7 linked regions of the Xenopus tropicalis genome follow. The protein of the gene in region 5 purifies or fractionates together with the protein of the main gene of each other region. This does not show direct contact. Links are inferred from orthologs where the notes say so. Each region holds a gene or a part of one and is shown on either strand. Other genes may lie near its edges.

Evidence for each region.
Region 1: the proteins of cbx5 (region 5) and champ1 purify together in Homo sapiens (affinity purification with mass spectrometry; 6 studies listed by BioGRID and IntAct, with this or other methods). This does not show direct contact. The link is inferred for Xenopus tropicalis from reciprocal best matches to the Homo sapiens genes CBX5 and CHAMP1.
Region 2: the proteins of cbx5 (region 5) and ahdc1 purify together in Homo sapiens (affinity purification with mass spectrometry; 3 studies listed by BioGRID and IntAct, with this or other methods). This does not show direct contact. The link is inferred for Xenopus tropicalis from reciprocal best matches to the Homo sapiens genes CBX5 and AHDC1.
Region 3: the proteins of cbx5 (region 5) and adnp purify together in Homo sapiens (affinity purification with mass spectrometry; 4 studies listed by BioGRID and IntAct, with this or other methods). This does not show direct contact. The link is inferred for Xenopus tropicalis from reciprocal best matches to the Homo sapiens genes CBX5 and ADNP.
Region 4: the proteins of cbx5 (region 5) and chaf1b purify together in Homo sapiens (affinity purification with mass spectrometry; 8 studies listed by BioGRID and IntAct, with this or other methods). This does not show direct contact. The link is inferred for Xenopus tropicalis from reciprocal best matches to the Homo sapiens genes CBX5 and CHAF1B.
Region 6: the proteins of cbx5 (region 5) and senp7 purify together in Homo sapiens (affinity purification with mass spectrometry; 3 studies listed by BioGRID and IntAct, with this or other methods). This does not show direct contact. The link is inferred for Xenopus tropicalis from reciprocal best matches to the Homo sapiens genes CBX5 and SENP7.
Region 7: the proteins of cbx5 (region 5) and znf462 purify together in Homo sapiens (affinity purification with mass spectrometry; 3 studies listed by BioGRID and IntAct, counting the BioPlex papers as one, with this or other methods). This does not show direct contact. The link is inferred for Xenopus tropicalis from reciprocal best matches to the Homo sapiens genes CBX5 and ZNF462.

The regions. Positions count from the first base shown.
Region 1 is NC_030678.2:111,847,720-111,852,225, reverse strand, and holds the start of champ1 (chromosome alignment-maintaining phosphoprotein 1), read right to left. Parts: upstream 2,999-4,506; 5' UTR 2,870-2,998; intron 1-2,869. UniProt on the Homo sapiens protein: Required for proper alignment of chromosomes at metaphase and their accurate segregation during mitosis. Involved in the maintenance of spindle microtubules attachment to the kinetochore during sister chromatid biorientation.
Region 2 is NC_030678.2:78,101,151-78,104,858, reverse strand, and holds part of ahdc1 (AT-hook DNA-binding motif-containing protein 1), read left to right. Parts: intron 1-951; coding exon 952-989; intron 990-1,283; coding exon 1,284-3,708. UniProt on the Homo sapiens protein: Transcription factor required for the proper patterning of the epidermis, which plays a key role in early epithelial morphogenesis. Directly binds promoter and enhancer regions and acts by maintaining local enhancer-promoter chromatin architecture.
Region 3 is NC_030686.2:35,649,384-35,653,879, forward strand, and holds the start of adnp (activity-dependent neuroprotector homeobox protein), read left to right. Parts: upstream 1-1,602; 5' UTR 1,603-1,931; intron 1,932-2,728; exon of another isoform or gene 2,729-2,826; intron 2,827-3,940; 5' UTR 3,941-4,077; intron 4,078-4,496.
Region 4 is NC_030678.2:12,925,939-12,929,646, forward strand, and holds part of chaf1b (chromatin assembly factor 1 subunit B), read right to left. Parts: intron 3,187-3,708; coding exon 3,102-3,186; intron 2,571-3,101; coding exon 2,477-2,570; intron 1,335-2,476; coding exon 1,265-1,334; intron 1,146-1,264; coding exon 1,057-1,145; intron 930-1,056; coding exon 767-929; intron 1-766. UniProt on the Homo sapiens protein: Acts as a component of the histone chaperone complex chromatin assembly factor 1 (CAF-1), which assembles histone octamers onto DNA during replication and repair.
Region 5 is NC_030678.2:145,616,385-145,620,765, reverse strand, and holds the start of cbx5 (chromobox protein homolog 5), read right to left. Parts: upstream 2,984-4,381; 5' UTR 2,838-2,983; intron 1-2,837. Other genes in the region: hnrnpa1 (heterogeneous nuclear ribonucleoprotein A1), read left to right, coding at 3,493-3,507. UniProt on the Homo sapiens protein: Component of heterochromatin that recognizes and binds histone H3 tails methylated at 'Lys-9' (H3K9me), leading to epigenetic repression. In contrast, it is excluded from chromatin when 'Tyr-41' of histone H3 is phosphorylated (H3Y41ph).
Region 6 is NC_030678.2:105,170,100-105,173,807, reverse strand, and holds part of senp7 (sentrin-specific protease 7), read right to left. Parts: intron 3,259-3,708; coding exon 3,161-3,258; intron 2,722-3,160; coding exon 2,576-2,721; intron 2,098-2,575; coding exon 1,755-2,097; intron 1-1,754. UniProt on the Homo sapiens protein: Protease that acts as a positive regulator of the cGAS-STING pathway by catalyzing desumoylation of CGAS. Desumoylation of CGAS promotes DNA-binding activity of CGAS, subsequent oligomerization and activation.
Region 7 is NC_030677.2:120,584,298-120,588,729, forward strand, and holds the start of znf462 (zinc finger protein 462), read left to right. Parts: upstream 1-1,495; 5' UTR 1,496-2,370; intron 2,371-4,432. UniProt on the Homo sapiens protein: Zinc finger nuclear factor involved in transcription by regulating chromatin structure and organization. Involved in the pluripotency and differentiation of embryonic stem cells by regulating SOX2, POU5F1/OCT4, and NANOG.

The sequences.
Region 1 (4,506 bases), about 34 Mb from region 5:
AAAAAAACAACTTTAATTAGATTGTATTTTATTATACCAAGCAAGCCTAAATAATTGCTAGGTTTACATGCATATAACACACTTAACTTTCTACAATGTTGCTACTTGCATTAATTAATAAGAAACGGAGTTGGCGCTCAAAAAACAAACTACCAAGTGTATAAATTTATATCAATCTATTAGTGTTTAATCATACAATAATTCATTACAATAAAAATAATCTCACATAAATACATAAACCTTGTATTAAAAAATATAAATAATTACAATACATAAAGTGAAAATCAGAAATTCAATTGAAAAGCTAAAATGGAGAAATGTGACTAAACCTATCAGTTCAATGGAGGATGAAATAGGAACAATATATTAATTCATATGAGGATAGGTTAAAAAAAACTAAACGTTGGCATTACTAAAAATACATATACATAAGATCAGTTGGTTAAAAGGTAGGCAAAAGAACTACCAAATGAATCAGATATACTGGATAAATCTGTAACAGACTGCTACACTAAGCACAGGAGGGGATGGATTACTACATAAATGCCCAGTCTATAATTAAGTGAAAAGTTGCGACTTCATAACTGCCTAATCGAAGGATACAGCAATAATATGGGGAAAAAAAGGCCCCAGTTGGGGAGCTCACTCCCAAACGGACACCCAATTAGGAAGGAAACTGTCCAATAAGATTATAAGGGCAAACACTCGTGTATGCACCCTAACATGTGGCGCTTGCAATGTGAGGTATCACCAAAGGCTACAATATAAGTACAGGCACCTCCTAGACCTTAACCTGGTGCTGAATAGATCCCCCACACCCTACAGGTGTTAGCTAGAATACCCTCTGTCCCGGCCGGGAACTTACTGTGGGTCTAAACACTGGGAGGATCGAGCTCCTTCACACGGCACAGCACGGATTCCCTTCTTTCGGTGACGTCACCGATGTGAGCCGAATGCTTAGCTACGGGTCCTCCCAGGTCTCAAGGTCCACACAAATTTATATATATCAATATATGGCGTGCACCAATGAAGTGGGGGGGGGTTACAAGAGAATGACTTGTTAATTAATGCTACTTGCATTAATTAACAGAGGGAATGGTGTACCCTCTGTTAAAAAAGTAAGGATATTAGAATTTGCCAAGGAGTTCCACAACCATATAGAGACAAGAGCCTGTGGACAAAAGGTATGGCGTATGTAATACACATCCCACATCACCAAAACTGATTCAAACTCATATCCTTAGGCACTGTTAGAAGTTTTTTTCAGATTATTTTACAGGCTGTTGTCTTTTATAAGCCTACTGTGTATAGTATTACAAGAAAACATTGTCAGAAAAAAATCACAATCATCATTAACGGGGGAAAATACCCTATTTCTATGTAGGGTTCCATTTTAATGTATTTGATCCATAAAACACTGTGCAAATAAATATGATGCCTTACTGTGTGCAATTTTATATGCCTTGTCTTCATATATATATATATATAAAAGTAACAATAGGGCTGCCAAATAAAATACCGCACCCCTGCCCCAACATGCAACCAAAACTATGCTTCCAGGGTTCCTCCTAAGTGACCAGCCCACAATGCATGTAGTCCAAGTACCATACCTGGGGGATACAGGATACAGAGCAAGTAAATTCACAGATTATCCCGCATGCCAGGACACTGCACTTTGCACGTGCACAGATAACTGCATGCCATACAGGAATTGTGGCTTTTTTGAGCATTTTTTCCTGATTTAATCTTACCTCCACTTTTCTAATGAAAACAAATCATCAGGTTATTATAAAAAACAAAGTACTTTACTATTGCATGAATTATACTGTAATGCACCTGTAAAGGTAGCCATACACGCACAGATAATATCATACGAAACCTCGTTTCGTACGATATTCGGTGCGTGTATGGTATGTTGGCGAGTCGACCGATATCGCAGGAAGCTGCTGATATCGGACGACTTGCCGATTGGACCAGTTTGAAAATTTTGATCAGGCGCCATAGAAGGCGCCTGACCAAAATCTCCCTTCAGCGCTGAATCGGCAGAAGGAGGTAGAAATCCTATTGTTTCTACCTCCTTACCTGCCGATTCAGCCCTGAATGGTGTGTGGCGGATCTGACGATGTTTCGTGCAACCGATGGTCAGATCGCCACGCCACTCTTTATTACATATAATATACATTTTTGTAATCGAGCTTTATTTGGAGTCTGTCACATGTTTTCAAACAATGAATAAATGGGATAATGTACTTGTATACACACTGTGTACAGTCCTTATGTTTTGAGAAAATAAAACTACTGTGTCACATGAGAATGACAATGGTTTGCATCTCTCGGCACTGAGGCACATGAGAATGGCAGGTAGGATCACCACAGAAGGGGACATCTCTATTACATTGAGATGCATTGCAGATACATTGCAAATCTGTACCAGGCCCTTATGGAGACGAAAAAACATTGCTAAAAAGGTAATCACTACTTTCCTGTCCTTTCTTTTACCCCATTTTACTAGTATTTTAGATTTTATGTCCCTATTTTCTGTGCTTAATTACAAACCAGTGTCTAAGGATGTAATTACTAATAGAAAACATCTCTCTAACCCAAGCAGCTAGGTTTTAGCCCGATAGAATCGCATTCCCACCCACCCAGTCCTGTGCAGCTCTACGGGGCTAAAACCTCCGTGACAAAAAGAGCATTACTGAAAGCTGTGTAAGGGAAAGAACATGCATGCATATTGCACTCTAAGCTCCTGCCCCTTACGGAGTCTGCAGCTCTCTAAGCGAAAGGGGTCAAACTAGCCCAAATAAGTGCAGACTGCCCAACACACACACCTATTTTCCTATAACAACAGTCCAAGATCGCTACTTACACCTACCACAAAGCTGGTAACTGCAAGCTCCTGGCCGCCTCTCTTGCGGAAAATCCCGACGCCAAATCCCGTCTCATCACGCGAGACTGGCATCACGACTTCACGTAAGCGCAGTGACGCATCACGTAGCCGCATTGCGCAAGTGACTAGCGGAGACTGCGTAACTTTGACACCGTGGTCGTACCGCCTTCTTTTGTTAGAAAACAAATAATAGAAAAACAAACTTTTGTTTCATGTTGGTTGTTCGCCATGCACTCCCAATATAGCCATTTATATTTTTGCTTAGAGTTACGCTTTTTGCTAGGGAACAAAAGAAATATATATATATATTTTATTTATTTCTGGTTGCCATCTGTACATGGTGCTGTCGGAGCCTCTTCTGTTAATTTGACAGAAAAAGAAAACTTTATTTTTGTGCAAACTGGGGGTGGTTGAAATGAAGTCACTTTTTTTAGTTTAATTATACTTTGATGGTTCCACACACACAATGGGCAGAATTTTCACAATTCAGGAACAAAACAACTTCAAGGCACGAATAAGAAACTGACCAAGTAAACCACCTTCAGTACCATGCTGGCCCAGTTTCCACTGTTTCAGGAATGACTTGGCCCACACTGGCTGTCGCCAAGTTACCTAGACATTGATATTTTGAGTTCTGCTCCAGTATTTAAAGACAAGGACAGTATTTTTCACAATTTGGGACAATGTATGGCCTTTAGGAGAGTCTAATGGGTACCTACAGTAATCTTTTTAGTCTTTTTTGTGGTGGTGTCAGGAGCTTCCAAGACATTTGTTTCCTGCCAGAAGTGCCTGCCGTCATCAGAGCCTTTTTACCAATTTGACCAAGAAGGAAAGAGTTTTTATGCAAACTAGAGTCAGATGAAATGATGAAATCTTAGGTAAAAAGACTCCTTTTGGCACATAGAGGTGAAGAGCCCCCAGTGGTTGTGCATTAATATGACACAGATCTTTATACTGAGGCCTTGGGGGTAACACATCTTCCTCAGGCGAATGATGGGAACAAGATTTCCATAAAGAAAGTTTAGTAAAATTGTTAACTGAGGGCCCAACAGCAACACATGTATAGGCCCAACACTCCTCAAGCAAATGCTGCAATTGCATACCTAAAATACCTGCTATCGTATAAATGGTGTGCAGGATAGGGCAATTATTAGGGCAGGGTAGAATAGATTTTTTACTTTAAAAATGTTAGTGTTACTTTTCCTTTAAGTGGCTCACTTTTGCAAGGGGATGGAAGATTTAAACTATGAGGTGAGACTGTCGAGGTTGAGGTTGTTTTCTCTGGAAAAGAGGCGCTTGCGAGGGGACATGATTACTCTGTACAAGTACATTAGAGGGGATTATAGGCAGTTGGGGGATGTTCTTTTTTCCCATAAAAACAATTAACGCACCAGAGGTCACCCCTTTAGATTAGAGGAACGGAGCTTCCATTTGAAGCAGCGTAGGTGGTTTTTCACGGTGAGGGCAGTGAGGTTGTGGAATGCCCTTCCAAGAGATGTGGTAATGGCAGATTTTGTTAATGCCTTTAAGAGGGGCCTGGATGAGTTCTTGATCAATCAGAATATCCAAGGCTATTGTGATACTAATATCTACAGTTAGTACTAGTGGTTGTATTT
Region 2 (3,708 bases), about 68 Mb from region 5:
CATGTTTGTGGCTGTAATGTGACAAAATGTGGAAAAGTTCAAGGGGGCCGAATACTTTTGCAAGCCACTGTATGTATAATAATATATATATATATATATATATATATATATATATAATTCTTCTCGAAGGCACTCACCACTTACAAGGCATACGCCGGGTGCTCACCAAATCAAATACATATACTGTACATAGAAGGCACTCACGGCTCCAAGTAGTTCAAAGAGTAACATAATTTATTGCTCCACACTCATATATATATATATATATATATATATATATATATATATATATATATATACCTTAAAAAGACAAACGTCACCGCACTCATCCCATAGTGTAAATTCCGGTGCTCAGCAACTTCAGGATACCGTCATGTCCCTCCACAATAGATACAGTTGAAAAAGATGCGGCACACATTATTTGCAAAAGAAGGAATCACAAAAGGTATTATGTGATGTGATTCCTTTTTTTTTTTTATACACACACACATATATATATATATATATATATATATATATATATATATATATATATCCAAAAAAGACCAGCAACACCGAGTTATGTTCCAAAAACAATCAATTGTGTATTAAAAACGCATGAACAGCCAACGTTACGTTTCGGTCCCCATCGGGACCTTTCTCAAGGCAACCATGCTAACCAACCCCATGTTCTACTTATCCATAGTGAACCAGCAAAACGTTGGCTGTTCATGCGTTTTTAATACACAATTGATTGTTTTTGGAACATAACTCGGTGTTGCTGGTCTTTTTTGGATATTTAAATCATTTACCTTGCACCCGAGCTAAGAGGCACTCTGCTTCAGCTCTATATATATATATATATATATATATGTAAAAAAAAATATACACACACCCAAATCAATTAGCACTTATAGCCATAGGTTTTTCTAGCCAATGATAATGATAATTTCAAATTTTCTCTGTTCACAGAGACACCAAATACAGCGGAAGAAGTACAAAACTGCAGAGTAAGTATACAGCAGTCAAATGTCAAATTTGCTTTTCATCCATTTGCTTTTCATTTCCTTGATGTGGGACATCTTAGGATGCCCATTATTCAGTCCCTTAAAACCTCATAATGAATAAGGTTAATTCAACTATTGTATACATGAGGAAGTCAGTCTCTGGCCAACTAGTTTTTTCCCTAATGTATTTCCCCTAGAAAGTTTGTGCAACTGCTCTGTATTCCATAGAATCCGTCACTACATTTTATATATGTATTGTACATTCACTTTTAATTTATTTTTATATTTGTTCATTAGATTCCTCTTTGGCCCATCCGGAACCCAATCTCTCCTCTTCACAAGAAGATAATTCACGTCCTCCACGTAATGAGGCCTGGAGCCGTGCCAACAAGCCACTCTGCCGCCCATCAGTAGGCCCCCCCAGACTGGGAGTAGATGGAATCATTGCTTTGTTGAAGAGCAAGTGCGGTAATGGACGCGTGAACCTACAGCCTGTAGTGAGGTTGATGGACATCATGAAAGATCTCAGCCAACTGTCTAGTGATCTACAATCTAGTGGTGTACGTTTGGATTGCACCCATGTTGCAAGCTCCCCTTCAGAGTCAGAAAATGCAGAACCAGGATTACAATATAGTTTCTTCTCATCTCAGAGTTTGGCATGTGGTCTGAGAAGCCCAGAGGAAAAGCCATCTGAGACTGTCGAGAAAGAGCCAGTTCCTGTTTCTCCCAACCCAGACTCCATGGAGTCTGCCAGTTCAGAGGTCTTGAGAGAACTAGCAGCTCTAGCCTGGATGGAACCTCAACAAACAGAGAGCAAAGGGGAGATAGAGGAGAGGATTGAAAGGAGACTGGAAAAGGTGGAAGAAACTAGAGGCCAAAATGAAGAGACATCAAAGGAACTTGACCATAGTGAAATGGAAGATGTGGGGCCTAGAGAGGAAAAGATCACTAAACAGGAAGATGATGAGTCAGGTGAGGAACCAGATGAAAGTAAACATGAGGATGAATCAGGGGAGGAACAAGATGGAAGTAAACAGGAAGATGATTCTGGAGAGGAGCAAGAAGACCTTAAACAAGGAGAGGAATCATCGGGAGATGATCAGGAAGAGAATAAACAAGACGAGGACTCATCTGAGGAAGATCAGGGGGAAAGTAAACAGGATGAAGAATCATCTGAGGATGAGCAGGACGAAGGGGCTGGGGACAATGAGGCAGAAGACCCAACAGATGGCAAAATGAATGAACAGGGTGATATAACATTAGTCCAGGAAAATCAACTTAATTTGAAAGATATGGGGGTAGCAAGCCTAGATGCAGATTTGAAAGAACAATCATCTGATGAGGAAAGCAGGGAAGATGAAAGCAAACAAGAAGAAGAGAAAACAGTAGAAAGGGAAGTACTCATGGAGACACAAATGGAGCAGTTGCCCTGGATGCTCCCGCTCTTTTCTCCTTCGGTTGATAACATCAGAAGAATCTCCTTTTCTCACCGTGGTAGATTTGGTCACAGAGGACGCAGGGGTGATAGGCCTGGTAGAGGACGGCGAAGAAGACCAGGTAGGCCACGAGCTTCAGAGAGCCTTTCAAGGGCATATGTGATGCCACCCTATCACCGAACCCCTGAAGAGCCAAGGGCATATCGGCTCCATGAGCAAAGCTTACATTTTACACACTCCATTAACAACCCCCCCTCCATGGAAACACCTAAAGAAGAAGGCCCCCCCAAAAAGCCAAAACGCAAGGGAGTTCGCAAGATGGTGGTTCGGATTGCAAAAATCCCCATGCCTGTGGGTAGAAGAAACAAAACAAGTTACAAAGTGTCTTCTTTCAGCAGTACATTGAGTGTGGAAGGAGGAGAACTGATAGGTGGGTCTGGCCCTGGTCCTACATCACTTCTCAAAATGAAGAATAATGGGCGCAATGTTGTCATGGTGTTTCCACCTGGTGAACTCCCCATCATACTTAAAAGGAGGAGAGGAAGGCCTCCAAAGAACCTTGTGTTAGCACGTGAAACCCCTCCAATGCTGCCCCAGCCACCCCCCAAAGAACCTGCAGCACTGCCACCTCCAACTTCCCAGCCTCCCACACCATTACCAGAGGGTGAAATGGTCAAGAAGCGGCGGCGAAGGAAACAGAAACTTCCATCTCCCCAGCCATCATATGTGGCAGATGCCAATGACAGCAAGTCTGAATATAGTGATGTGCTGGCAAAGCTTGCTTTCTTAAACAGACAAAGTCAAACAGCTGGGCGCAATTCACCTCCCCGCTGCTGGACTCCAACTTTGCCAGAATCTGTTCACCAAGCCCCTGACACTCACAGCATTTCACAGTTTCTGCACAGAGTGCAAGGTTACCGCAGGCGAGGTGGGCGTGGAGGTGGCCCAGGTCGGCGAGGAGGATGTAACAGCCATAACCCAGAGTTGTCCCGTTGTTCCTTCAGTGACTTCTTTGAGGGTATTGGTAAGAAGAAGACCAAAGCAAGGCCTGTTGACCCTCTAAAGCCACGGAAACGGAGACAGCCGCGAGCTGAGCCAGATCCCAATGCTAAGCCCAAGCGCAAGAGGAGATCACGTAAGAATGGTGCTCTTCTTGGTGAAATGGGTGGAGAGGGAAGTTTAGGCTATCAAGGCACATCTGAATGGGGACCTGAAGGTAAAGGAACACCATGGCCGGGTCAGCTTTCTCACAGCCAGTCAGGTGGTAGACACTGCAGTTATCAAGG
Region 3 (4,496 bases), on a different chromosome or scaffold from region 5:
CAGAGGGAAAGAGAGCCTCATTAGTTATGAGAACTTGGGTATTCTAAGCAATCCCACAAAACTAGGGGACAATATAGGAACTGAGACTGTACTTGCTGGTGGGTCTGGATTATTCTGATCAGCAATCAAGATATGTGTTGGTGCCCACTATATTCCTGGATGAACTGGATTTTTTTCTGTATTACCTTTCCTTCTTCACTGATGAACTTTATCAATTGCTTGTATGTGTTAAGCTGTTGATTGGGACATTCATGATTTTATTAAATTTTGTATAATCTTCTTTAATTGTGAGTACAATTTTAAGTAATATATAATTTTATTTTTTTGTTTTTTTAATATACTGGTTGGTGATGGTAACTGTTGGTTTATTGCATTAAATATATACTTGAACTGTACTTTATTATATTTAAGTCAGTTTATGAATATGTATCACGTAAAGATCCACTGAACATTATAGGCTGGGTGGGGCATTGTTTAGACAACACATAAAAGACTGCAACACAGTGGAGCTGACGGCAAACACTGGAATTAAATAAAAGGCTTGAAGTCAGATTAATCATGTTTAGGGTTATTGGTCCTTTGAATTAAGTTGTCTTCATTTTTCAATAATTTCAATTAATTTTTCAATCAATTCAATCAAATGCTTAAATACATTTGCCTATTTTTTTTTATAATAAATAGGCCTGTTGGTAGTGCCCATACAGATGCGCTGCTAAATTGGTCTGAAATTGGCAACTTAAATAGGCATGTGTATTGTTACCTTTAGTCTAGAAAATCAGAAGCCCCAAGAATAGAAGGGCAATGGCAAACCAAAACTACTTTAGTTGAAAGAAAATATTCCAGGTCCCCAAACATACCATGAAATAGGGTCCTGATTGTATCAGAGAATGACTTTAATGCTTGGCTGTTGACCATAGAAAGCAGCTAATTGGCTTTGAGGGCACCTATATGCACAATGGGTTACTAACTAGCAATCAGTTCTGCTAAAGGTGCTGATGCTTTGCAACTGCCAGAGGGATGCTGTGGTACCTACTATATTGGCACCATAATACCTAGCTAAGGGATTTTACTTGTCATTTGTTAGATCCTCAAGAACTACAGTGACCACTGGCTGGAAGATGTCACCTCCCTCCAAAGAGACCATTGTAAATTGGCAGTCCTTGGCAGCCATTACTGTGGCCAACTTAGTTTCCCAATGAGCCTCTTTCCACAGAAGTGTAACTCATGGGATGCTTACTTCTTGCTCCTGATATAGTGCCAGTAGCAATGAAATTGGCACCCAGTCAGGGAGCTGCCCTACCAATCTCTTCCCTCCACACCACCCAAACCACATGGCTGCAGCACTGAGAACCCAGCACCACGTGACCAAACCCATAATAGTGCCGGTGGCGAAGGGATACCAAGAACACCGCGCATTCCCACTGTAATTTTTCTGTCTTTGAAGTATCCGTCCGCAAAAGGCGCCCCCTAGCGGTGAGAGGGAGATTATCTTGGTGACCCGATTTTCTCTTTCACCCCCAAATTCCTGCTGGACAAGATCCCCTTTGTGCATGCCCATCTCCCCGGTCCCCAGGTGCGCGGCTGCAGTGGAGTATTTGTTTTTTCCCGGGCTCCCGCCAGCTCCGGACAATGAGTCCCCCCACCCCTCCTTCATGCTAATGAGCGCTGACGTCACTTCCGCTCCTTCGCGGCCGCCATTTTGGCCAGGGCAGGATCGGAGCCGCTGCCGCCGCCGTGCTGTATTGTCTGCAGGAGGAGGAAGTGCACCCGGCGGAGTCACAGCTGCAGCCACCGGCACCGGGAACTGACTCCACCCCCTTCCCACACACAAACACGGGGCTCATGCTCAGGCGCATTGCCTGGCACCCCCATATCCCAAGGGGCCATAGGCTGCCCACCGCCTCGGGCTGACAAGCAACCCCCCGGCTCAGGTATGTCTGGGGCCGTGAGCGGCGTAATGGTTACAGGGTGGGTATGTTGGGGTGCATCTTCTCATGAAGTCGGAGTGCCTAACGTGAGGTAGAACTAGAACTCCCAGATCCCCCCTATAGAGGATGATGGGATTTATAGTTCAGGAATTGGGGGGGGTGACAGGGGGTAGAGCAGAGCTAGTTACGGATAATAAAGTTACTGGTGGTGTGAGGAACAGATGGAAGTTATTAAGGATTGGGGAGACACTGAGGGCTGCAGGAAGTGCGGGGCACAATGGAGTTGGTGGAAGTGCAGAGAGTGTGAGGGACACAAATAGGGGATGGAGATAGTGTGGGGACAGATAGGCAGGCTGATGGGCCCAGTGGGCAGGGGGCATACCTGGCTATTGTACTGAGCACTCACATCTGTGCCGGGCAGCTCTGATTGGATGCGGATAATGATGGTTGTGGGGACAGACTTGTTACTTTGGGTGTAGGGATGGGGGAGGTGCCAGTATGAGTCCTGTTGCCCCCATTGCCACTAGCTGGGGTGCCCCAATGGGATGTGTGGGTGGGCACCCTGCTGCTGGGGAGTTCCAGCCTGACATGCAGTGCCGGTGGGAGCTCGGCTAGAGGGGTGCCGGGCATGGAGGGGCACAGGATCCGGCTGTGGGTGCAGCGGGGGGCATGGGGTTGGCGCTGCCATGCTACATAAATAGAACTTCGTATTGCGTGCAGTTATGAAGCCGGAGGGCCGTACCTCGGGCATCCCAGTGGCATGAAGGCAAAGGGTTAATATATGGGAGGGGGTGGGGATAGGGGCTGCCCCCACCCTCCCTTGTCTGGCTGCTTCTGCTGCAAAAAGGCGCGATCCTGTAGGAGGAACCTTTAAACCAGCATGCTCCCCTCTCCCCAGGTACACATGGGCTGGCCGGCGCTAGGGTTTAGCGGCAGGTGGGCTGCACCACTCCCCGTAGTGGGGGTCCATCACAAAGGCGCTCGATCCGAACTGCTGCCGGTGTTTTCCTGCGCTGCACATGGCCTGCTGTCACAGTGATGGCTTCGCATTAGTCATGCACTTTAGCGCTGTTTGTTTTCTCTATTTGCACGGCTGCGAGCTGTGGCAGGGGGGAAAAAGGGGAATAAAAAAAATAACAGGCAGCCTCCACCCAAGATGCACTGCAGCTAGAAAATGGCGCCTCACATTCCAGTAGGGGGCGCTTGCTGTGCGCCGGGTAAGGCGCTGGGGTGGGGGGATGGGTAGACTGAAGCAAAACTGGAAGCTGCTGCACAGCGCCTCCTATAGGTTTGGGAGTGGAATGCGGCAGGGCCCATGACAGCAGCATTATGCACTGCTTGTGCAGAGAGCCAGTGATTCACTCCCACATTCCCTAGGCCCCTCTGGTGCTTCTAGGTGCAGGCTCTAACTTATCCCTTGTTTGTTCAGGTTTTGCCCATCACTAGTGTAGAGCATGGATGCACTGCTTGGGACCTTCTGAGTGCTACAGTTCCCAGCATCTCTGCTAAAGGCTGCTAGTGATGGTTCAGCAACACCTTAAAAACTATACTTTGGATACCTGGGTATAGCCCCCCTGTCACAAAACTGACTTGTCAAATTGGTGCCTTTTCTTACTCATGGCAATTTACTTTACTCCTTGTGTCCATTAGGGCTATGCACCTCACATCAGATTATGCCAGCTAGTTATTTACCACTAACTTATCCCTTGTTTGTTCAGGTTTTGCCCATCACTAGTGTAGAGCATGGTATAGTGTATTCAATAACAACACCTTACCTTACTTTTAGCATTTTTCGGGTTCAACGTTTTGTGCAACTTGTGCAGAAACAGAACTCCCAAATTATAAAGAGGGTGGCCCTGGGAAGGGGGTGAAACATAACTGAACTGATAGACTAATGTATCAAAGCACTAACCCAGTAAGTGGCACTATAGAGGGGAAGAGTAGAATCAGAGGGTACTGTAGTTTTTAAGAAAATACCATGTGCTTAAAATTCAATCATTTTCTCTCTACAGGTGGATAAATTCATTGGCACTTACACTTTTTCCTTGGATTCCTATCTGCAGCACCTTGCACTGTGTGGGACATACAGCAACAAACTGGCGCTCGGATCATCATTTCAATCTTCCTTAACTTTATTTTGACATAAAAGGTTTGTTTTCATTTCTCCTTTCTACCTCTAAGCTTTTAGAAAAGAAGGATGGTAGTAAGGACTGTGTTTTTGCATGGCATGTTAGAGGACCCTGGAACCCATGGAGTGAAGTGTCTTTAGTAACCATCATTATTTATCAACTGTGTAACCATGCTTTAAAGTTAATTACTACTGAAAAACAGTTCTTTTGACTAATAAAAGAAAATATAACTTAACTTTTCAAAATACATGCATTCCTGATTTCATTAGTTTTAAAAGTTATGTGTAAATGTTATTAATGTTGAAAGCTGTATGTGTTGATCCATTTTTGTTCTGCGTCAGCCATCCTGCAGGTCTGTTACCAGCTAGTTTCTGCCACGTTTTTACATATGATAACCAGTAGTGCAGAGAATATAAACAGTCTGGTGTTGCCTGTGATA
Region 4 (3,708 bases), about 130 Mb from region 5:
GATAACATGGAGAAAATATAGGTTTGAAATCAGATGGTCAATTTTTCTTCCTTTCCTGGAAGCTTTCAGACCGGTAACTATAGAAACTAAAATTTTACTACGGGCTGGTTAACCTTTAAATTGACTTTTAGCATGACTGATATTTGGTGACAATTTGCAATTGGTTTTCATTTTTTATGGTCTTGTTTATTTAGCAGTTTGTTTAAATGTACTCCAGTTAGGATTTTCAGCAGCTATCTGGTTGTTAGGGTCTTGTTTACCTTAGCAGCCAGTTAGTGGGTTAGGGTGGCAGTGGCTAAGAGATAGATCTCTGCTATCACGGGTGACTACCACTCCGAAACAGCTTTTCACCAGCAACAATAGGAGTCACCGGTGGAAAGCTTTGAATATGAAAAGGAGAGTAAAATGATAAGTAATAATAATAGTAAAATTGCAGCCTTACTGCAAAGATGTACAAGAGGGAAGCAAATAATACAAAATATAAAGACCAATTGCAAAGTTACTAGGAATAGAACATTCTATAACATACTAAAAGTTAACATTAAGGGGTGAAGCACCCTTTTAATGGGGGTGTTCAATGTAGCACCCTATAAGCTCAAGGTCTTTTGGGTGCTTGGAAGGACATGTAGGAAACTGTAGTACCTGCCCCTATACATTGGTCATATTCAGAGTTTCTCAGTCAGTAAAACATGTAACCTAGGGGCTGGGTATGGTATAGGCAGGGAGCCTTTAGTGCCCTGATATGATAATCTGTACATGTACATACCATGAAATATCGCTCAGTGTGTGATAGTGCACATTAGACACGTAGCCAAAAGGGAACAGCTGCTGTGTATCATAGAATAGAACAGCGTCTTCTGAGGCGACAGCAAACACCATACGGTATGGCTGGGTGATGAGACCCTGCGGTTGGGACTCCCCAGAATCATCTTTTTAAAAAATAAATAATAATAATTTAATTTCATGTTATTGACATTTTCCCCTCCCGGTTCCTGGGATAAGAGGTTTAATCTCTGGATGTCCCAGCATGCTTTGTGATGCTCCCTAGGATCATACCTTTTACAGTTGGTCTCAGCTCAAAGTAAATAGGACAGCAGCGCACAGCCAGGGTGGCCTTTGTTGGGCAGGGGAGATGTGCCATTGGTCTAGGGAGATAAAGAAAGAAATATATCAGAAGACAAGGGGCTCATTCAGCTGGGCAACCCTTCTGATATTGTTGCTGGGAGGATGCTGGCAATCACAGGTTATACATCCAGGAACTTACCGCTTTAGGTTCTTCCTAGAGAAGACGTACGTGGTGTTAATGACCGACTCCCCGGATTCCACGCAGCCAGCTGAAAGCAAGAGCACAGAGCTAAGCTGAACGCAACACTGACACTGAATTGCTTCCCCTGCTGCTTTTGTGCAGTTGCACAACTTCCAGCTGTCTGGGCCTGTGACCACCCTTAACTAAGGATCATGGGAGTAAAAATTTAGCAACAACTAGTTTGCATATCTGTGTACTTATTTGCCTGCTGAAAAATGCTGGCAGAGAATATGCCCATGGTGTTTGCTACAGAAACCCTACTATAGTTTATATAAATACCCCGCTGTGTAGCCCCGGGGGCAGTCAATCCTGCACTGGTACAGCTGGGGTGTTTGCTACAGAAACCCTACTAAAGTTTATATAAATACCCCGCTGTGTAGCCCCGGGGGCAGCCATTCCTGCACTGGTACAGCTGGGGTGTTTGCTACAGAAACCCTACTATAGTTTATATAAATACCCCGCTGTGTAGCCCCAGGGGCAGCCATTCCTGCACTGGTACAGCTGGGGTGTTTGCTACAGAAACCCTACTATAGTTTATATAAATACCCTGCTTGTGTAGCCCTGGGGCAGCCATTCAAGCCGGAAAAAAGAAGAAATGGCACAGGTTACATAGCAGATACCAGATAAGCTCTGTAGAATACAATGGGAATCTATGCAACGCATCTGTTATCTGCTATGTAACCTGTGCCTTTTCTCCTTTTTTCAAATTGAATGGCTGCCCCCGGGGCTACACAGCAGCTTTGTTTATATAAACTATAGTAGGGATTCTGAGGCACACACACAACTTTTACCAGTGCAGGGCAACTTTGTTTATATAAACTGCAGCCACGCGTTACCATGCAACAGAATGTGTAACCATGAAGCCGGACTCATTAGCAGCTTGTGACTACCAGCCTGGACTGGGACTAAAAACAGACCCTGGCATTTTAAGTACATGGAGGCCAAAACAGCACTCCCCAGCCCAATAAATAGTGACTGTCTACGGCATCATACAGCAGCCCCTCTGGCATTTGCCAGAACCCACAGATTGCTGGTCCTTGAAGAGGGTATCTATTCTCAGATATAATTGCACTAGAACAGAATAATGAATGCTACTTGGGGAGAGGGGGAGCATCCCATAGAGAATGACATGGCAGGTGTGGGACACATAGAGAGGCACAGGGTACAAACCTGGGGTTATAAGCAGAGATCCATCAGGAGTGAAAGTCAATCTCCTAAAGAAGGACTTCATGCTGTCATCATGGTACATGCGGAAACTTTTTACCTGCCATGAAAACAAAACTAATGAATAATTCTGACACGCCCCAGGGGGGAGACAAAGACTAAAATATATAAGATCTATGTGAGCCAATCATGCAAGGATACTGCTAATCGGCCACTAATCAGAGCACATATGTTACAAAGGTGAAATCAGTGCAAGTCTGAAGCTGGCCCATACATTGCAAGATCTGCTTGTCTGCCGAGGCCACCAAACAAGCAAATCGTTCTCCAATATGCCCACCCTGGGTTGGGTGGTATTGGGTTGATCCAATTGTCTGACCTTGGATCATAATTGCTGCTATGCTGATATCTGTGCACTTTGATTTTTCCCGCTGGATTGAGGACTGTATGTGTGCATTGATGTGGTCCTTGATCCAATGGGAAAATCAAACTGCCCAGATATCGACTGAATAGGCCCATTGAAGGGCCCCGTACTCAGTCCATAGGCTGCTTTTATCAGCCCTTGTAGAGCCACGTGTAGGCACAGAATAGTCTGTAGAAGCCAAAACGGGCACAGAGGGAATAAAGGCAATACCTCTCCGTCAGCGCCAGGAGCAGACGCCATCTTGCTCACGTTATAAGCAACTCTCTTGGTCTCCGTCTTGTAAACTCGCATTATCCTGAAACACAATCACATGAGTGAGGAACTGCACAGAATTGGCTGCCATTCACCAACCCAAGACCATTTTAACCATAATTAGGTAAATCCTTTATTTAAAGGACAACTCCAGCATAAGAAAATACAATTCTAAGCAACGTTCCATTACGCATTTTCATTGGTTTTATATTGATGTGGAAATGTAATTGCCAGTGAAAGCAGAGGCTGCCTGCCCCTTTCTTTTCTCTGGTTCTGACACTGAAACAATGTAGCAGAAGTCAGTTTTTCTTGCAGCTTCATTAAGCAGCTGGCTTCTGCTACATTGTTTTAGGGGTTAGAGCCAGCAGTGCAGAAAATGTCACACAGATACTGCTTGTAATATCAGTTATATTTACATATAATGACTTGGATTAAGTATATTGGAGAGTTGCTGCATGATGAATTTTTAATATTGCCTATAAAGTGACATTCAAAAACAATCTGCAATTGACCTACAATGTGTATGGTTTTTGGGTCTTTAATATTTTAGGTTGGCAGCCTTTTA
Region 5 (4,381 bases):
GGGCAAAACTGCAGGCTTAAATATTGATGCCTTTACAATTTCTGAAGTAAAAAAAAAAAAAAAAAAAGCAAAATGATATAGAGCTTTTTATACATATATGGGAGGAAAAAAAATACATCATAAAGGGGAACTCCGAAAATTTGTTAAAGAGCCCCAAACATCACAGAAACCCCTAATACACCTATCACTGTAATCTGTTCCTTCAAAAAGTATAAACAAATACCATTTTTATATGCTGAAATCCAGCTTCAAAACAGTTACCTTTCTGCATCATTTGAAATCCTGGTGGGAGAGGAGGGACTAAAACATTGATGTTACAAATAGTAACAAGTTCTCAACAGCTTACAGACAGCATGCAAGAACTACATAACCCACAATGCACTGCACTATGATGTACCATTGCTTACTGACATCACGTCGGCAGGGGATTGTGGGATTTGGAGGTTGCAGGTTAAGAACAGTCGACTACTTTAACAGCCCAATAGGCTTGTTTTGCCTCCAGTAAGGATTAAATTATATCTTAATTGGGATCAAGTACAAGGTACTGATTTATAATTACAGAGAAAAGAATTACAAATTAGAATTATTTGCATATAATGGAGTCTATGGGAGTTGGCCTTTCCGTAATCCGGAACTTTCTGGATAATGGGTTTCCAGGTAAGGGATCCCATACCTGTATATTAAAAATCATGAAATTGCTGCATATTTTTTAATTGATGTATATTACAAAGTTACTCTTTAAAACGCTTAAGTTGTGTTTGGGTGGAGTTCCACCTTAAGTTGCAAAAGCAACCTGAAATAATAAAGTCATCAAACAGTACATAAGAGTGAAAGTTAAGAGCAATTTCACTCAGTTATCTTAACCCCTTTGTGGTCAAGTGGTAAACAGAGATGTCACCTGCCCTTCCAAAGTAGACTGTGTACAGGGGCTTTTTTATGAACACTGGCCAGTAACCTATGGCAACCACATTTTTGCTTTTCATTGTTCAATCTGCAGTCATGGATTGGTTGCTATGGGTTACTGCCCATGTGGAAATCTGCCCACTGTTTATACATGTTTACTGTTTATATACATAAGATGTCTACAGTCTAAGAATAAAGTATACAAAGGCACATTTAAGCCCACATGTCCAGCCTGTGAACCTCCTGCTGTTCAACTACTACTCCCTATACTCCAGCAGACTTTATCTGGGAGTCTGGACTAAAGGTGGCCATACACCGTAAGATCCGATATTCTCTCGATAGGCCCCCTACGAGTGGGTGATATTGGGCTAATTCAACTTAGGGCCAAACAATTGAATTAGAATGGTGGGCATAGGCACCATCAGTTCAGAGACTGCATAAACGAGCCGACACGGTCCCCAATTCAATGTAAATATCAAACCTGCCCGATTTCAAGTCAGATGTCAGTTGGGGCCTGTTGTTGGTGCCCATGCATGGGCAGATAAGCTGCCAAATCAGTCTAAAGGACCAATATTGGCAGCTAAAATTGCCCAGTGCATGGACACCTTAAGATTCATAATAGGCCCTGGTATTTGACATACACGGAGGCCCAATCCCCTCCACTGGCCCAATAAATAGTGACTGTCTACCACACCTTACTGCAGCCCCTCTGGCATTTGCCAGAATCTACAGAATTGCCAGATGGTATGGTTATAGGTTAGCATTAGTGATTACACCTAGTAAGCTTGCTGTGTTGGCATGCAGGTGTGAAGGTTATTTAAAGGAATGCCGTTGCTTAAAGTGTATTGTCATATTATAAATACACGTTCCCTTTCATTTCCCTAGGGACATTTTTCATTTTCCCTAGGTAGCAGCCTAGCTGGTTGTAAGCATAGTAGTTTTTAAGCTCCTGCCATAGACCCCCTTCAAGCCTCATGTAAGCAAGGTATTTACTTTATTTACAGGAGGTGAGATTGATAGAAATGCCTAGAGCTGGTCTGAGTGATGTCTGAAGCCATTTTGCAACGCTCTTATTTGCGTTGCATGCGCCCCCCTCCAAGGGCAGAATTTCTGAATATAGGCACTCTTCATTTAACAGAAAAGTGTGGAATTGCTGCAAATAGCCTTAACCTATGGAGACAACTGCATAGAAACTGCTTTTCTGCTTCAAGTGATACCAGTAAGTTATGTGCCTGGTGTAAAGCTGCTGTACTGCGTGTTGCATGTATTACCATTTCCATAGCCACAGGCCATGGTTTTACTTGGGTTAGGGATGCCCAACCCCTGGCAGACTGTTCCTGCTGAACTACACCATTCTGACCTGCTGGCTGATATGTGCAGACATAGCTCACAGCAGCTGGAGGGGTGCAGAAGAGCAGACGTTCCATATGTGATTGCTGACACACAATGATGATGGAATGAATGGAGGACTCACATCAACATCCAGCTGTTGTACTACACCTCCCCCAACTGAACAGCTGGATGTTGGCCATGCCCGATATCTGTATACAGAGAATATACAACAGAATCATGCCATACAGGTTTTTATTGTATAATAGTCCAATAGGACCAGCCCAGGATACAATACCAGGGGGAGAGAGCAATGGGTATTGCCCAGCGCTGTCTGTAAGCCCCAGGTAAGTACCTAAGTTAAGCCTCGCACTGTCGCTGCCCGGCTACACGGCTGAACGGTACAACACGTTCCTCCCAAAGTTTGCGAATGACCCCCAAGCTTCCGCCAATCAGCAGCGCCCCTTGTCTCCCACATCACTGTCCCTGTCTCCCACAATGAAGCCGGGGCACCCCATTATTCGCACAGTGCCAGCAGCAGCACCTCACACAGCCAATGAATGGGAAGGGCCGAGGAGGGGTGGGAGGCAGCGAGTTGTACTCACCTTCCTGCGCGAAATACACCGTGCGCCCACCGAAAGCTGCTCGCTAGCAGGAATTGAGTGAAGGCTCTTACCGAGCGGTACTGTGCGCAGCCAGCGACCAAACCCCGCCAAAAACAACCCACTAGACGCATGCGCAACACCGCCCTCCAGCCTAAAGGAATGCCCCTCCTCGGGTACACACTATGCCCAGTCCGTGCCATACTGCAGCCTAACCATTCACCAGAATTCATAACCAAAGGTTGAGGCCCTATAAAATGTAATTTCAATGGCTAGAACCAAATCTGCCCGAACTTCTATAAAACGAGCACCGGGCCAGTACGGAAATCTCTGTATAAAATATGCACACCGATAATCACTCGCCCAATGAGAAAACGGGGCGTACCAGCACCTCACTTAGGCCGGACAAAAGGACTGACTAAACGTACCCGATTTCTTTTCCCCTCCTCCTCAACGTCTTAACCAATCGCTGAAGTTAAACGTCACGCTAGTTGCCCAATCGACGATGCCTACGCAGACAGCGACCAATTAGGAGGCAAGTGGGCGTATTCTGGCGCACTAAATATACATTGCCATTGCGCTATAATCCCCCACTCTTCCTTCCTGTCGCTTCTCTTTTGTTTCTGCTGTTGTTGAGTTAACATCGGGGAGAGTCACCATGCACAAGTCCGAGGTAAGGCCTAGCGCCAGTGCATAATGCATTCGGTTCTTTTTATCATAGTCGTTTAGTTTTACGCCTTCTAGTTATGGGCATAAGTATCAGTAGGAGTGTTGGCGCCTTTTTGGGCCAGGTTTTTTTTTGTATGCTGTATATATGAGAGTGCTACGGTAGGTCAGGCTATATTAGATAACGACTAAATTATGTGAATAACATGTAGGCCCTGGCTGGGGATTTTCTTTAGACGCCGAGCTGGAAGCTTTGCGTAGAGTTCCTTTGTCTGACTCCATTTTGTGCGCTCCACCCTGCGAGGCGCTATGGTACCGCCTATTTTCTACTCGCTTAATGGCGGCGCTGTGGCCCGTAGCTGGAAGGCGCCTTTTCTCTAACGCCACACATGATTAGGCCTCTCCTTAATACATATTAGATATTCTCTAGCAATAAATAAAAGAATACCTCTCTCTCGGATACCGTACAAATTGGTAACAGAAAGGCAAACTTATTCCCGGATTTGTAAAAACGCGTGTTTTCAGCTTCGATGTTCAGGCTAACAATATACTTATTATTCTCGCTATTTATGGCTTCTACACATTCAACTTAAATGAAACCTGTTCCTATAGAAAAAAATGACCCTTATGGTATCGCGGTGGGGGAGGGGAAACTGGTGATTCACCATTTTGGTGAATGGGTTGGTTAGGCCTAACCAGTGCACTTCCCCCACCTAGAGGCTTGGGTTGGTTAGGCCTAACCAGTGCACTTCCCCCACCTAGAGGCTTGGCTGCTAACTTTGCCCAATTAGCGAGTCTCCTTTTTAATCACTGGGCAAGTTTGCACCTAGGCAGTAACCCATAGCAACACATCAGTGGTAGTTTCACCATTCCTGCTGCTG
Region 6 (3,708 bases), about 40 Mb from region 5:
GCTTCTGCCCCACAGCCAACCTGTTAAATTTTTTAATTTGTTTAAAAACTGTGTCTTCCTCAAGAAAAACAGGTGGTATCAGCCTATGTCTTTTTAGTGTCCTTTCCTCCCAGAAGGCAGATTAAACCCTCCCAGTGCTTGTGTCACCCCTGAAATGAAAGTATATTTTCAAATAAATTTTCTAAGACATTTGTATAACATTGACATAAATGTATAATCATATACCTCTTTCAGAGTTGCATTGATAAAGTCATTGAATAAAAAATTCATATTTTCATATTCGTATTTTTCGCCATATAAGACGCACCCAATTTTAAAGGAGGAATATCTAGAAAAAAAAGATTCTGAACCAAATACTGCAAAAGGCAGTGTGAAAAGGACTTACTTGGTGCATAGGCGCTGGTAGGCAGGGAAAGGGGTTACTTGTACTTAACTAATGGCTTGTCCCGAAGAGCTTACACTCTTATTACACAGTTACAATGGCCACTACACTTCCACTCCTACTCACCAATGACTTGCCCCTTGCTGGTCCCATCCTGCTTCCCCAGAACGGCCAGAGACTGCCACTCATGACAAGCCCATCCGTGCCCAATCGCCTCCTTAGAACTACATATCCCAAAATGCAGCGCGACTGGGTTGTACTGAGCAACTTGTGATTGGCCGTGCGGTGATCTTGAGCTGAAGATGTAACACGCACGCACCCCGCCCCCCTGTGGACGGAGGTGAGTGCGTGCGCGTTACATCTTCAGCTTCAGCTCAAGTGTCGGCAGGACAAGTGGAGGGAGGTACGGGGGAGGTATGCGCGATTGAACGGACATGTGTCCATGCGCGCCCGTGCTCACCTCCATTCACGGGGGATGTGTGCATATATTTGTACCGTATATTTGTCGTATAAGACGCACCAACTTTTCCCCCCCCATTTTGGGGAAGAAAAAGTGCGTCTTATACGGCGAAAAATACGGTAATTAATTTCGGATAGCCAATTGAAAATAAAGATACTCAGTGTGGACAGTGTATGTAAAGGAAAGAAAACGGAATGCTTCCCAGTATCTTTCTAAAAGAAAGAAGCCTGTTAGTTCATTGGCATAAACTTGTTAATGGCAGTTCCAGTGAGAAGCTAGATTCAAGCAGTCTTCCCAAGTCAGAATGGCTTGATAAGTACAAATAATTCTTAAATGTGCAAGCAAAATTTCTTTTCTGTGAACATCTGCATAGAAAGAATTTTCTATCACATTTTGGCATGATCATAAAAACAGGAGCATATCCTGCATACTTTTGTATGATTAAGGCAAGTAAGGCAAGAAAAACAGAAATACAAAATCATTATCTAAATCATCATCTAAAATCTGTTGTGGTCATGTAGAAGTTGATGGGAGTTGTCCTAGGCAAATTGTAAAAATCTTTATTTAATTTGTGGTTTTAGAGGTTTTCAGTTTTTTTTACAAAGATCCACAAAGATTTGTAAAAAAATGTAAAAACTATGGAAAATTTGTTATTTTGTTTATGTTCCGCATTTTAATTTGTTCATGCTTTTTTGATTTAGATGTTTTAATAAATGAGTAGACATTTTTGGTAGATGTGTGTGGTTTCAAAAACCTCTAAAACCACAAAAATCAGAATGTTAATAAATCTGCCCCTAACTGTATACTACCTCCCACATAAATGGTAAAATAAATTACATTCTCTAGTTTTTGCATGACAAATCCTGGTCACAGTTGTAACAGACACAATACCAATGTTAGTACAATTCTTACTTGGTTCAGATGAAGATGGAGTTGCTTTATTGGAGATATGGGTTTTCACATTTCTTTTGAACAACTGTACATTATTTGATGTATGCTTAACTAAATTAGGACTGCCAGAAATATCACCAGTTAATGTGGTGCCACTGTTGCTCTTCAATGTAGAAACACTTCCAATGTTGGGTGAATCTGTAGATAAGTGCAAATTTTCTTCCAGAGGAGAGGCATTCACACAGACAGAATCCTGTTCTGGCAGTAAACTTGATTTATTATGCATCTGTTCTGCAAGTTTTTGGCAGTATGTTCTATCACGTTTGCTTTTACTTGGAGAAGAAATCATATTCACAGGACTTTTCTAGAGATAAACAGATAATACAGAATTCACTAGTGCTATAAGTTCCGTAGTTAAAATGTTATAAAAAGACTCAATACAAATACAGTTTTTTTTCAAGAACAGTGATTATGATATCAGAGCTAAATTATGTACAGAATGTCAACCAGAGGTTTTAAGACTTTTTGGGTTCAACCCAAAAACTAAACTCTGTGCCATTTCATGAGGATTACCAAGGGTCATTACACTGCAATGGATTATATACTCATATCTTCCCAAATATAGTTATTTCAGAGCAATATCATTCATCCTAAATATCATTTTAATTGGTCATAAGGCAGGGCATCCAAATTTGCAGTTGTAAACCCTCCAGTCTATAGACCTAGGCATTTAGGAGCACAATGGTGTGAGAGTGTTATGCCTCCAAAGTTAAAAAGTGACCCTTAATGCTTTTTTATTGTACAAGTTTTTTTAAACACACTCTGCTCAATATGGTTCTTACAGTTTCTTGTTCAGGTTCCTTTTGAGAACTCCCACTCGTAACTTGTTCGTAATAACTCCTTCTACTGTTCGTTTCTTTTAGGGATGAATTGCTTGTATTACTAACATCTCTACACGCTTTACTTTGCTGAATTGTTTCTTGAATTCCTTTTAAAGAAAAGAAAAGTTATACTTTAACATTCTTTACAGGAACAGTAAAATCCCTCAGCCTTGTGATTCATCAGATGGGCCAAATTCTCTCCCTTGGCTGGATGGGGCATGTAGTAAAGCTGGGAAAAAGTCAGTCTCTATATACATAGATTAAGAAAAACCATAGTCTTAGGGATTATGTTTAATATGTAATGCAATTTATATAATGAACCAATGAACTGGCTTCCCCATTTATTGTAAAAAGCTCCCTTTACCACATTTTCTCCTTTACAATGCCCCCTTTTTCAATTCTACACACATGGAGTCCATTCAGGTCCCATGTGCAGTTGGTACTTCCCATTCTAGCTGAATAGAGTAGTGTAAAAAGAATAACATATTCGTTTTTAATTTTGAACAATGACTCAACAATTTTTAGAGCATTTTTGTTTTAACTTACTTATCAGTTCCACTGAACACCTTCTTGCTTTAAAGACTTCACAGGGCTCTTCTTTACTTGGTGACTTTGGCTCGTTATATACCCCCCAGAGTTCACTTCTTAAAATAAAATTGGAAACACCAAAATAGTCAAATTCATACTTGAGGATCACAGTTAATTGAAAAAAAATCCTAAATTTCAGTACATACCCCATACCATTAACAGACTGTAAATTTCAAATCAGTCCCACCACACACATGCACATTTACTCATGATCCAGCAAGCTATTGTGATTCTTCAATTAGCTAGATGAAAATAAGTACTTGGAACCAAGCAAGTAACGTGCATATTGCAGTAACTTCAACCAGTGTTGAATCAACTAAGTGGATCTTTATGGCAGCAAAGGTACAAAATGCAACTGAAGACTTCATAGCTGTAAAAGTTGTCATAATACAACCTATGCTTGGTGCGACTTTTGATAATCCATATTCACCTGCTTGTGATTTGTTTATGAATGCAGTTTGAGGAAATGCTGAAACCTAAAAGAAGCAGCTCTTTTCACATGCTAC
Region 7 (4,432 bases), on a different chromosome or scaffold from region 5:
GGTCATGGCATATAAATATTTTTCATGGCAAACTATGCATGCCACAGGCCCCTTCCTGACCCTGGATTTCACTTTGGAAAGCTGGTAATCTTACAAATTAGCCTTACTTATAGACACCCTCTCTTAAAGGTGAAGGACAACCCTAGGACTACCTGCTCATCTGTTCTGAACACAATTCTAAAATTAGCAGAGATAACAGAAAGCTTTTGAACTTCACTGAGTCTTCAACATTATAAAATAATGATTGTAACTGATATTGTAACTCTTCTGTGGCAGTATGAGCAATTCTCTTCATACACATTTGAAGAAGTCCAAATATCTTGATTAAAGTGCTCATGCATTTAGAAAAGGAAACCTTTAAAAATACATACCATAGGGTAATGTGTATAATAGTTGTACCCTGTAATTAGCATTTTTTCAGATTGAGTTGTATTAAAGGTGAGGTATGGCCACCTCAGTCACAATGCTGTACTTGTTACATAAAAATTTCATATTAAGCAATATTACATTAAATTAACATCTCAACGTTATTTGCTCTTAATTCATTTAAGAATCTAACACATATATAGAAAGTACAGGGCACTGAAATAACCCATGAAACCACCTAAATTATTACTTATGTGTTTCTGCTTGTACTAACCTTGCAAAGACCAAGTGTTGATTAGTTTCTAAAGGTCACTGAACCAGGCTAAATCTGCCCATATTATAACATAAAGAAATATTACTTTTTATGTGATCTCTTATGTATTTAGTGTGTTGCTTCTGAGCCAAGTTCTCATAAAACAGAAGAGGCATAAGTTGTTTACATTATAATCCTTTAATAAAGCATGGATCAAAAAAGAATGTTTAAACTGTACACAGAAACTAAAGGGTCTCAATATAGGCTTTAATAGGGGCCTCAAAATCCTTTTCTAAAAGATATTATGGATTCTTACCATAAACATATTCATGAAGGTCTACTGATAGGAGAGCAACAGGACATCCCTAATGTATGTTACATTCATAGTTAAAATCCATAAAGTCCATTAGAAAGGAGAAATGTTGGTTTAGATGGTGCTACAACTAAACCCATGCCACTAGGGTGATAATAGTCCAGTCCTGGAATTAATACATTCTAATTCTTCTTTACTCTGAATGGTAACATAAAATGTCTGGAGTGGATCACTATCACCCTAATGACATGAGGTTAGGTGGCATCTTTGCTATAGTGCAGCCACTTGTCTTTATGTGGAGATGGACTAATATGACTGTCATCCTTTAATGAATATAAAGAATGGCTAGAAATACTGTTATTTTTATTATTTTGAAAGAATGTAAACATCTTGTTAGGAATGAGTCATCTTGTACTTCTTGCTTGCCTCTGCAGCTATTTGCAAAATAGCTCTTCTATATAACCAGATTATTTCTCAGGAGAAGACTTCAAAATACTTATCAGATTCTGTGAAAAGCCATTTTAAGTAACAAAAAACCCCAGAAAGCATTGGGGTAAAAAAAAAAAATGCTTCTAGTAAATGTGGGTTAGTGTCTGCTCTTGCAACGACCAGCGGGAGGTGTGTGTTGTGGAAAAGCTGTGTGGACAGTGCAAAATGATTTAAAGTAATCAGTAGAACTTAGCAAGCTTCATTTTGTGCAAATCATGGAGGAACCTCGCTGAACGGCTGTGACACGAGGTTCTCTCAGAACATATGACCATTGGATTGTGAAGGCAACAACTTTCCACAAGAAGCTCTTCCTTCACTTGCTCCACCTCCTGTTATTGTTAAAGAGGGGTCAGGTTGCGTGCCTCAGCCTTAAACTTTGGGCACTTTAGCCTTATCACCTTGCCCACCACTAGTTAGACCTCGGCCCACGCTTCTCCTGGTTGCCCAGGGCTGCTGAGGCTTTGTGTGGTGTCTCCTGGAGCATATGGGCTTCCATTGTATGGCTGCACGTTGCTGCAGATAGAAAGGCTTCGCGCACCCCCTGGTGCTCTCGCGTTCTGTGTGGTAGGAGATTGTCCTCTCTCGCTCTCTCCCTCTCCCTTCTGGTTGCTCATTATTCAGAGAGGGAGAGACACACACACATACTCAGTGAGAGAGAGAGAGAGAGACGGATCTTTCAGGTCATCTGCAGCTGCAGAGCAGCAGCAGCAGCCAGTGAAGGAGAAAGAGGAGGAGAAAAAAAAGCAGGGAAGATGGCGATCCTCCATTGCTGAGACCTGGCAAGAGCACGAGAGTCAACAAACAACTTGAGACAGAAAAGGCACCATCTCCACTGCGCGTTACCACAAGGCGACGGCACGCTAAACCCTAGCGAGTACATAGAGATTGGAAGGGGACAAGGAGCAGGACAAGGAAGAGGCTGGAGCTGCAGCGTCCCGGGCACTAGTCTGTAAGTTCTCGCATTGGACTCTCCTACGCTAATGGCCATTGTTCACTCGTTGTTTTAATATCTCTGGGTTTAATGTCTTCGCTGGCTGCGAAAAGTCCTATGGTTTGCGTTACCGGGGTCAATTATTACTGTTGAGTGAAGGGGTGGGAAGACTCTCATGAGCGTTTTGCTGTCTGGAGAAGAAAGGAGGTGGTGGTGGTGGATATGGTAGTAGGAGGAGGAGAAGGGCGGCTAATTAATGAATCCATTAATTGACCCCCTTCGTCAGCCCAAACACCCCCAAGTGGTGGAGATTAAAAGGAACCGGAGGATTAAATAAATTATAAAAAAAGAGGGGGGGGGGGAAGCGACTGGCAATGTTTGCATGCACTTGCTTGTGGAGAGTTTGATCAGAAGCTGGGGAGAGACCAATACCCGCACAGGGGGAGGAATTACAACATTACTGAGCTTGGTGGCTGCACGACCCAAGCAATAGGGTGACCTCTTTCTATCAGTTTGTAACCAACCCCCTTCCTCCCCAGTTCTAGAGGTCTCCTGTCACCCCCCCCCCCTCCCTCTTGAGCTGAGATGACATGGAAGGTTGAATTCTGGGTCGGAATCTCTTGTCTAGGAGGGAGGGATAGGAGGAGGGGGAGGTTGTCGCTTAGCTCCAGGCTGGTATTTCTGTAGGGTTCGCCTGGAGGAGGAGAACAAATTCTATTCCCTGTGGTTTTAACTGAATTTAGAATCATAAATGTAGCCAATAACACTTCCTGCCCGCTTTCATTTGGCCTCAGAAAGAACATGCCCACATGCTCAGAGTCCAAAGAAGTCCCTGCTCTGCCCTTTGATCTCATTGGCTGTCATTATCTCCCTGTCCTCCATTTTCAGGCTGTCTGGGTTGGTTTGTGTCCAGACTCCAAAGCACAAAGCTTCTCTAGCATACACCCTAGCCAAGCTTTCTCTGGTAACATTCCTCTCTTCATTGTAGCTTACTGTACTCAGCTCAACAGCAGCATAAGGCTAGACAACAGAAGTGTATTTCATGTCTTTTTATGAGAAGAGCCTTCAAGCTGGGGGTTTCCTTCAGCTTTTTTTCTTCTCTGTGTGGTTTCAGTAGACTGATTTCATGTTTTAAGAGGAAGTGGCTACAGTAGTTGTTGCAGAATGCTGTTATCTGAGTCAGGTAAGCCATGTCATGCTGTAGCTCCACCAGAAAATGGAGGAGAGCAGGATCTGAAGTAGACAAAATGAGGTGGTGACAAACAACAGTATCATGGATCTTTATCATCCTAGTGGCTTGCATAAAACATTACTTCTCAATAGAATTTATTTTTCATGTTGTGTAACACGTAGCCAGAAGATTGTGTAGGAATATTTTGGAAGTCAGCAGCTTATTTTTTCAGCATGTATTAAGATTCTTTTTGGTGGTCATCATCAAACTTCTCATATTATGATCAATTATCTGTACTAAATGTGATGTTTAAAAGCCTTAATGAGTTGTTAATGATGTTGAAGTTGAGGGTATTGGTATATGTGTACAGTGAGCAAGAAATATGATGTATGCCCAGGTAATATATATAAATATGGGCATATTTTTATCCTCGGTTGATCTCAGAACCTGATGATTGTGCATAAAATGTTAAATTATCCAGAATGCCCCTTGAAAACTTGATCCAAGGTATAGTGATATGAACATTGCTTTAGCAACACAAGTATGTTATAGAAATGCAGATAGTGGAATTCAATGTAACATGAATTTGATAGCATAGTAAATTTCAGGTGGACACTCTCCTCTTCATCTACAGTTGTATGTGGTAATACTCAATAGTGATGGGTGGGTCAGAAAAAACTCAATTCACACCCAACCCTAACCTTCAAAACCTTAACCTACACCCATCCCACAAAATGTTGCCATTGTAGGACCCAACCCATAAAATGTTGCCATTATAGCACCTACACCCAACCTTCTTCATTTGTTACTTCTGCCTGCAGCTCTGGTTCCAAGACAGGGATTTTTTTTGGAGCATACTTCCCCACAATATTTGCTCAAATTAGTTTTGGGTCAACACGCACATCCCTA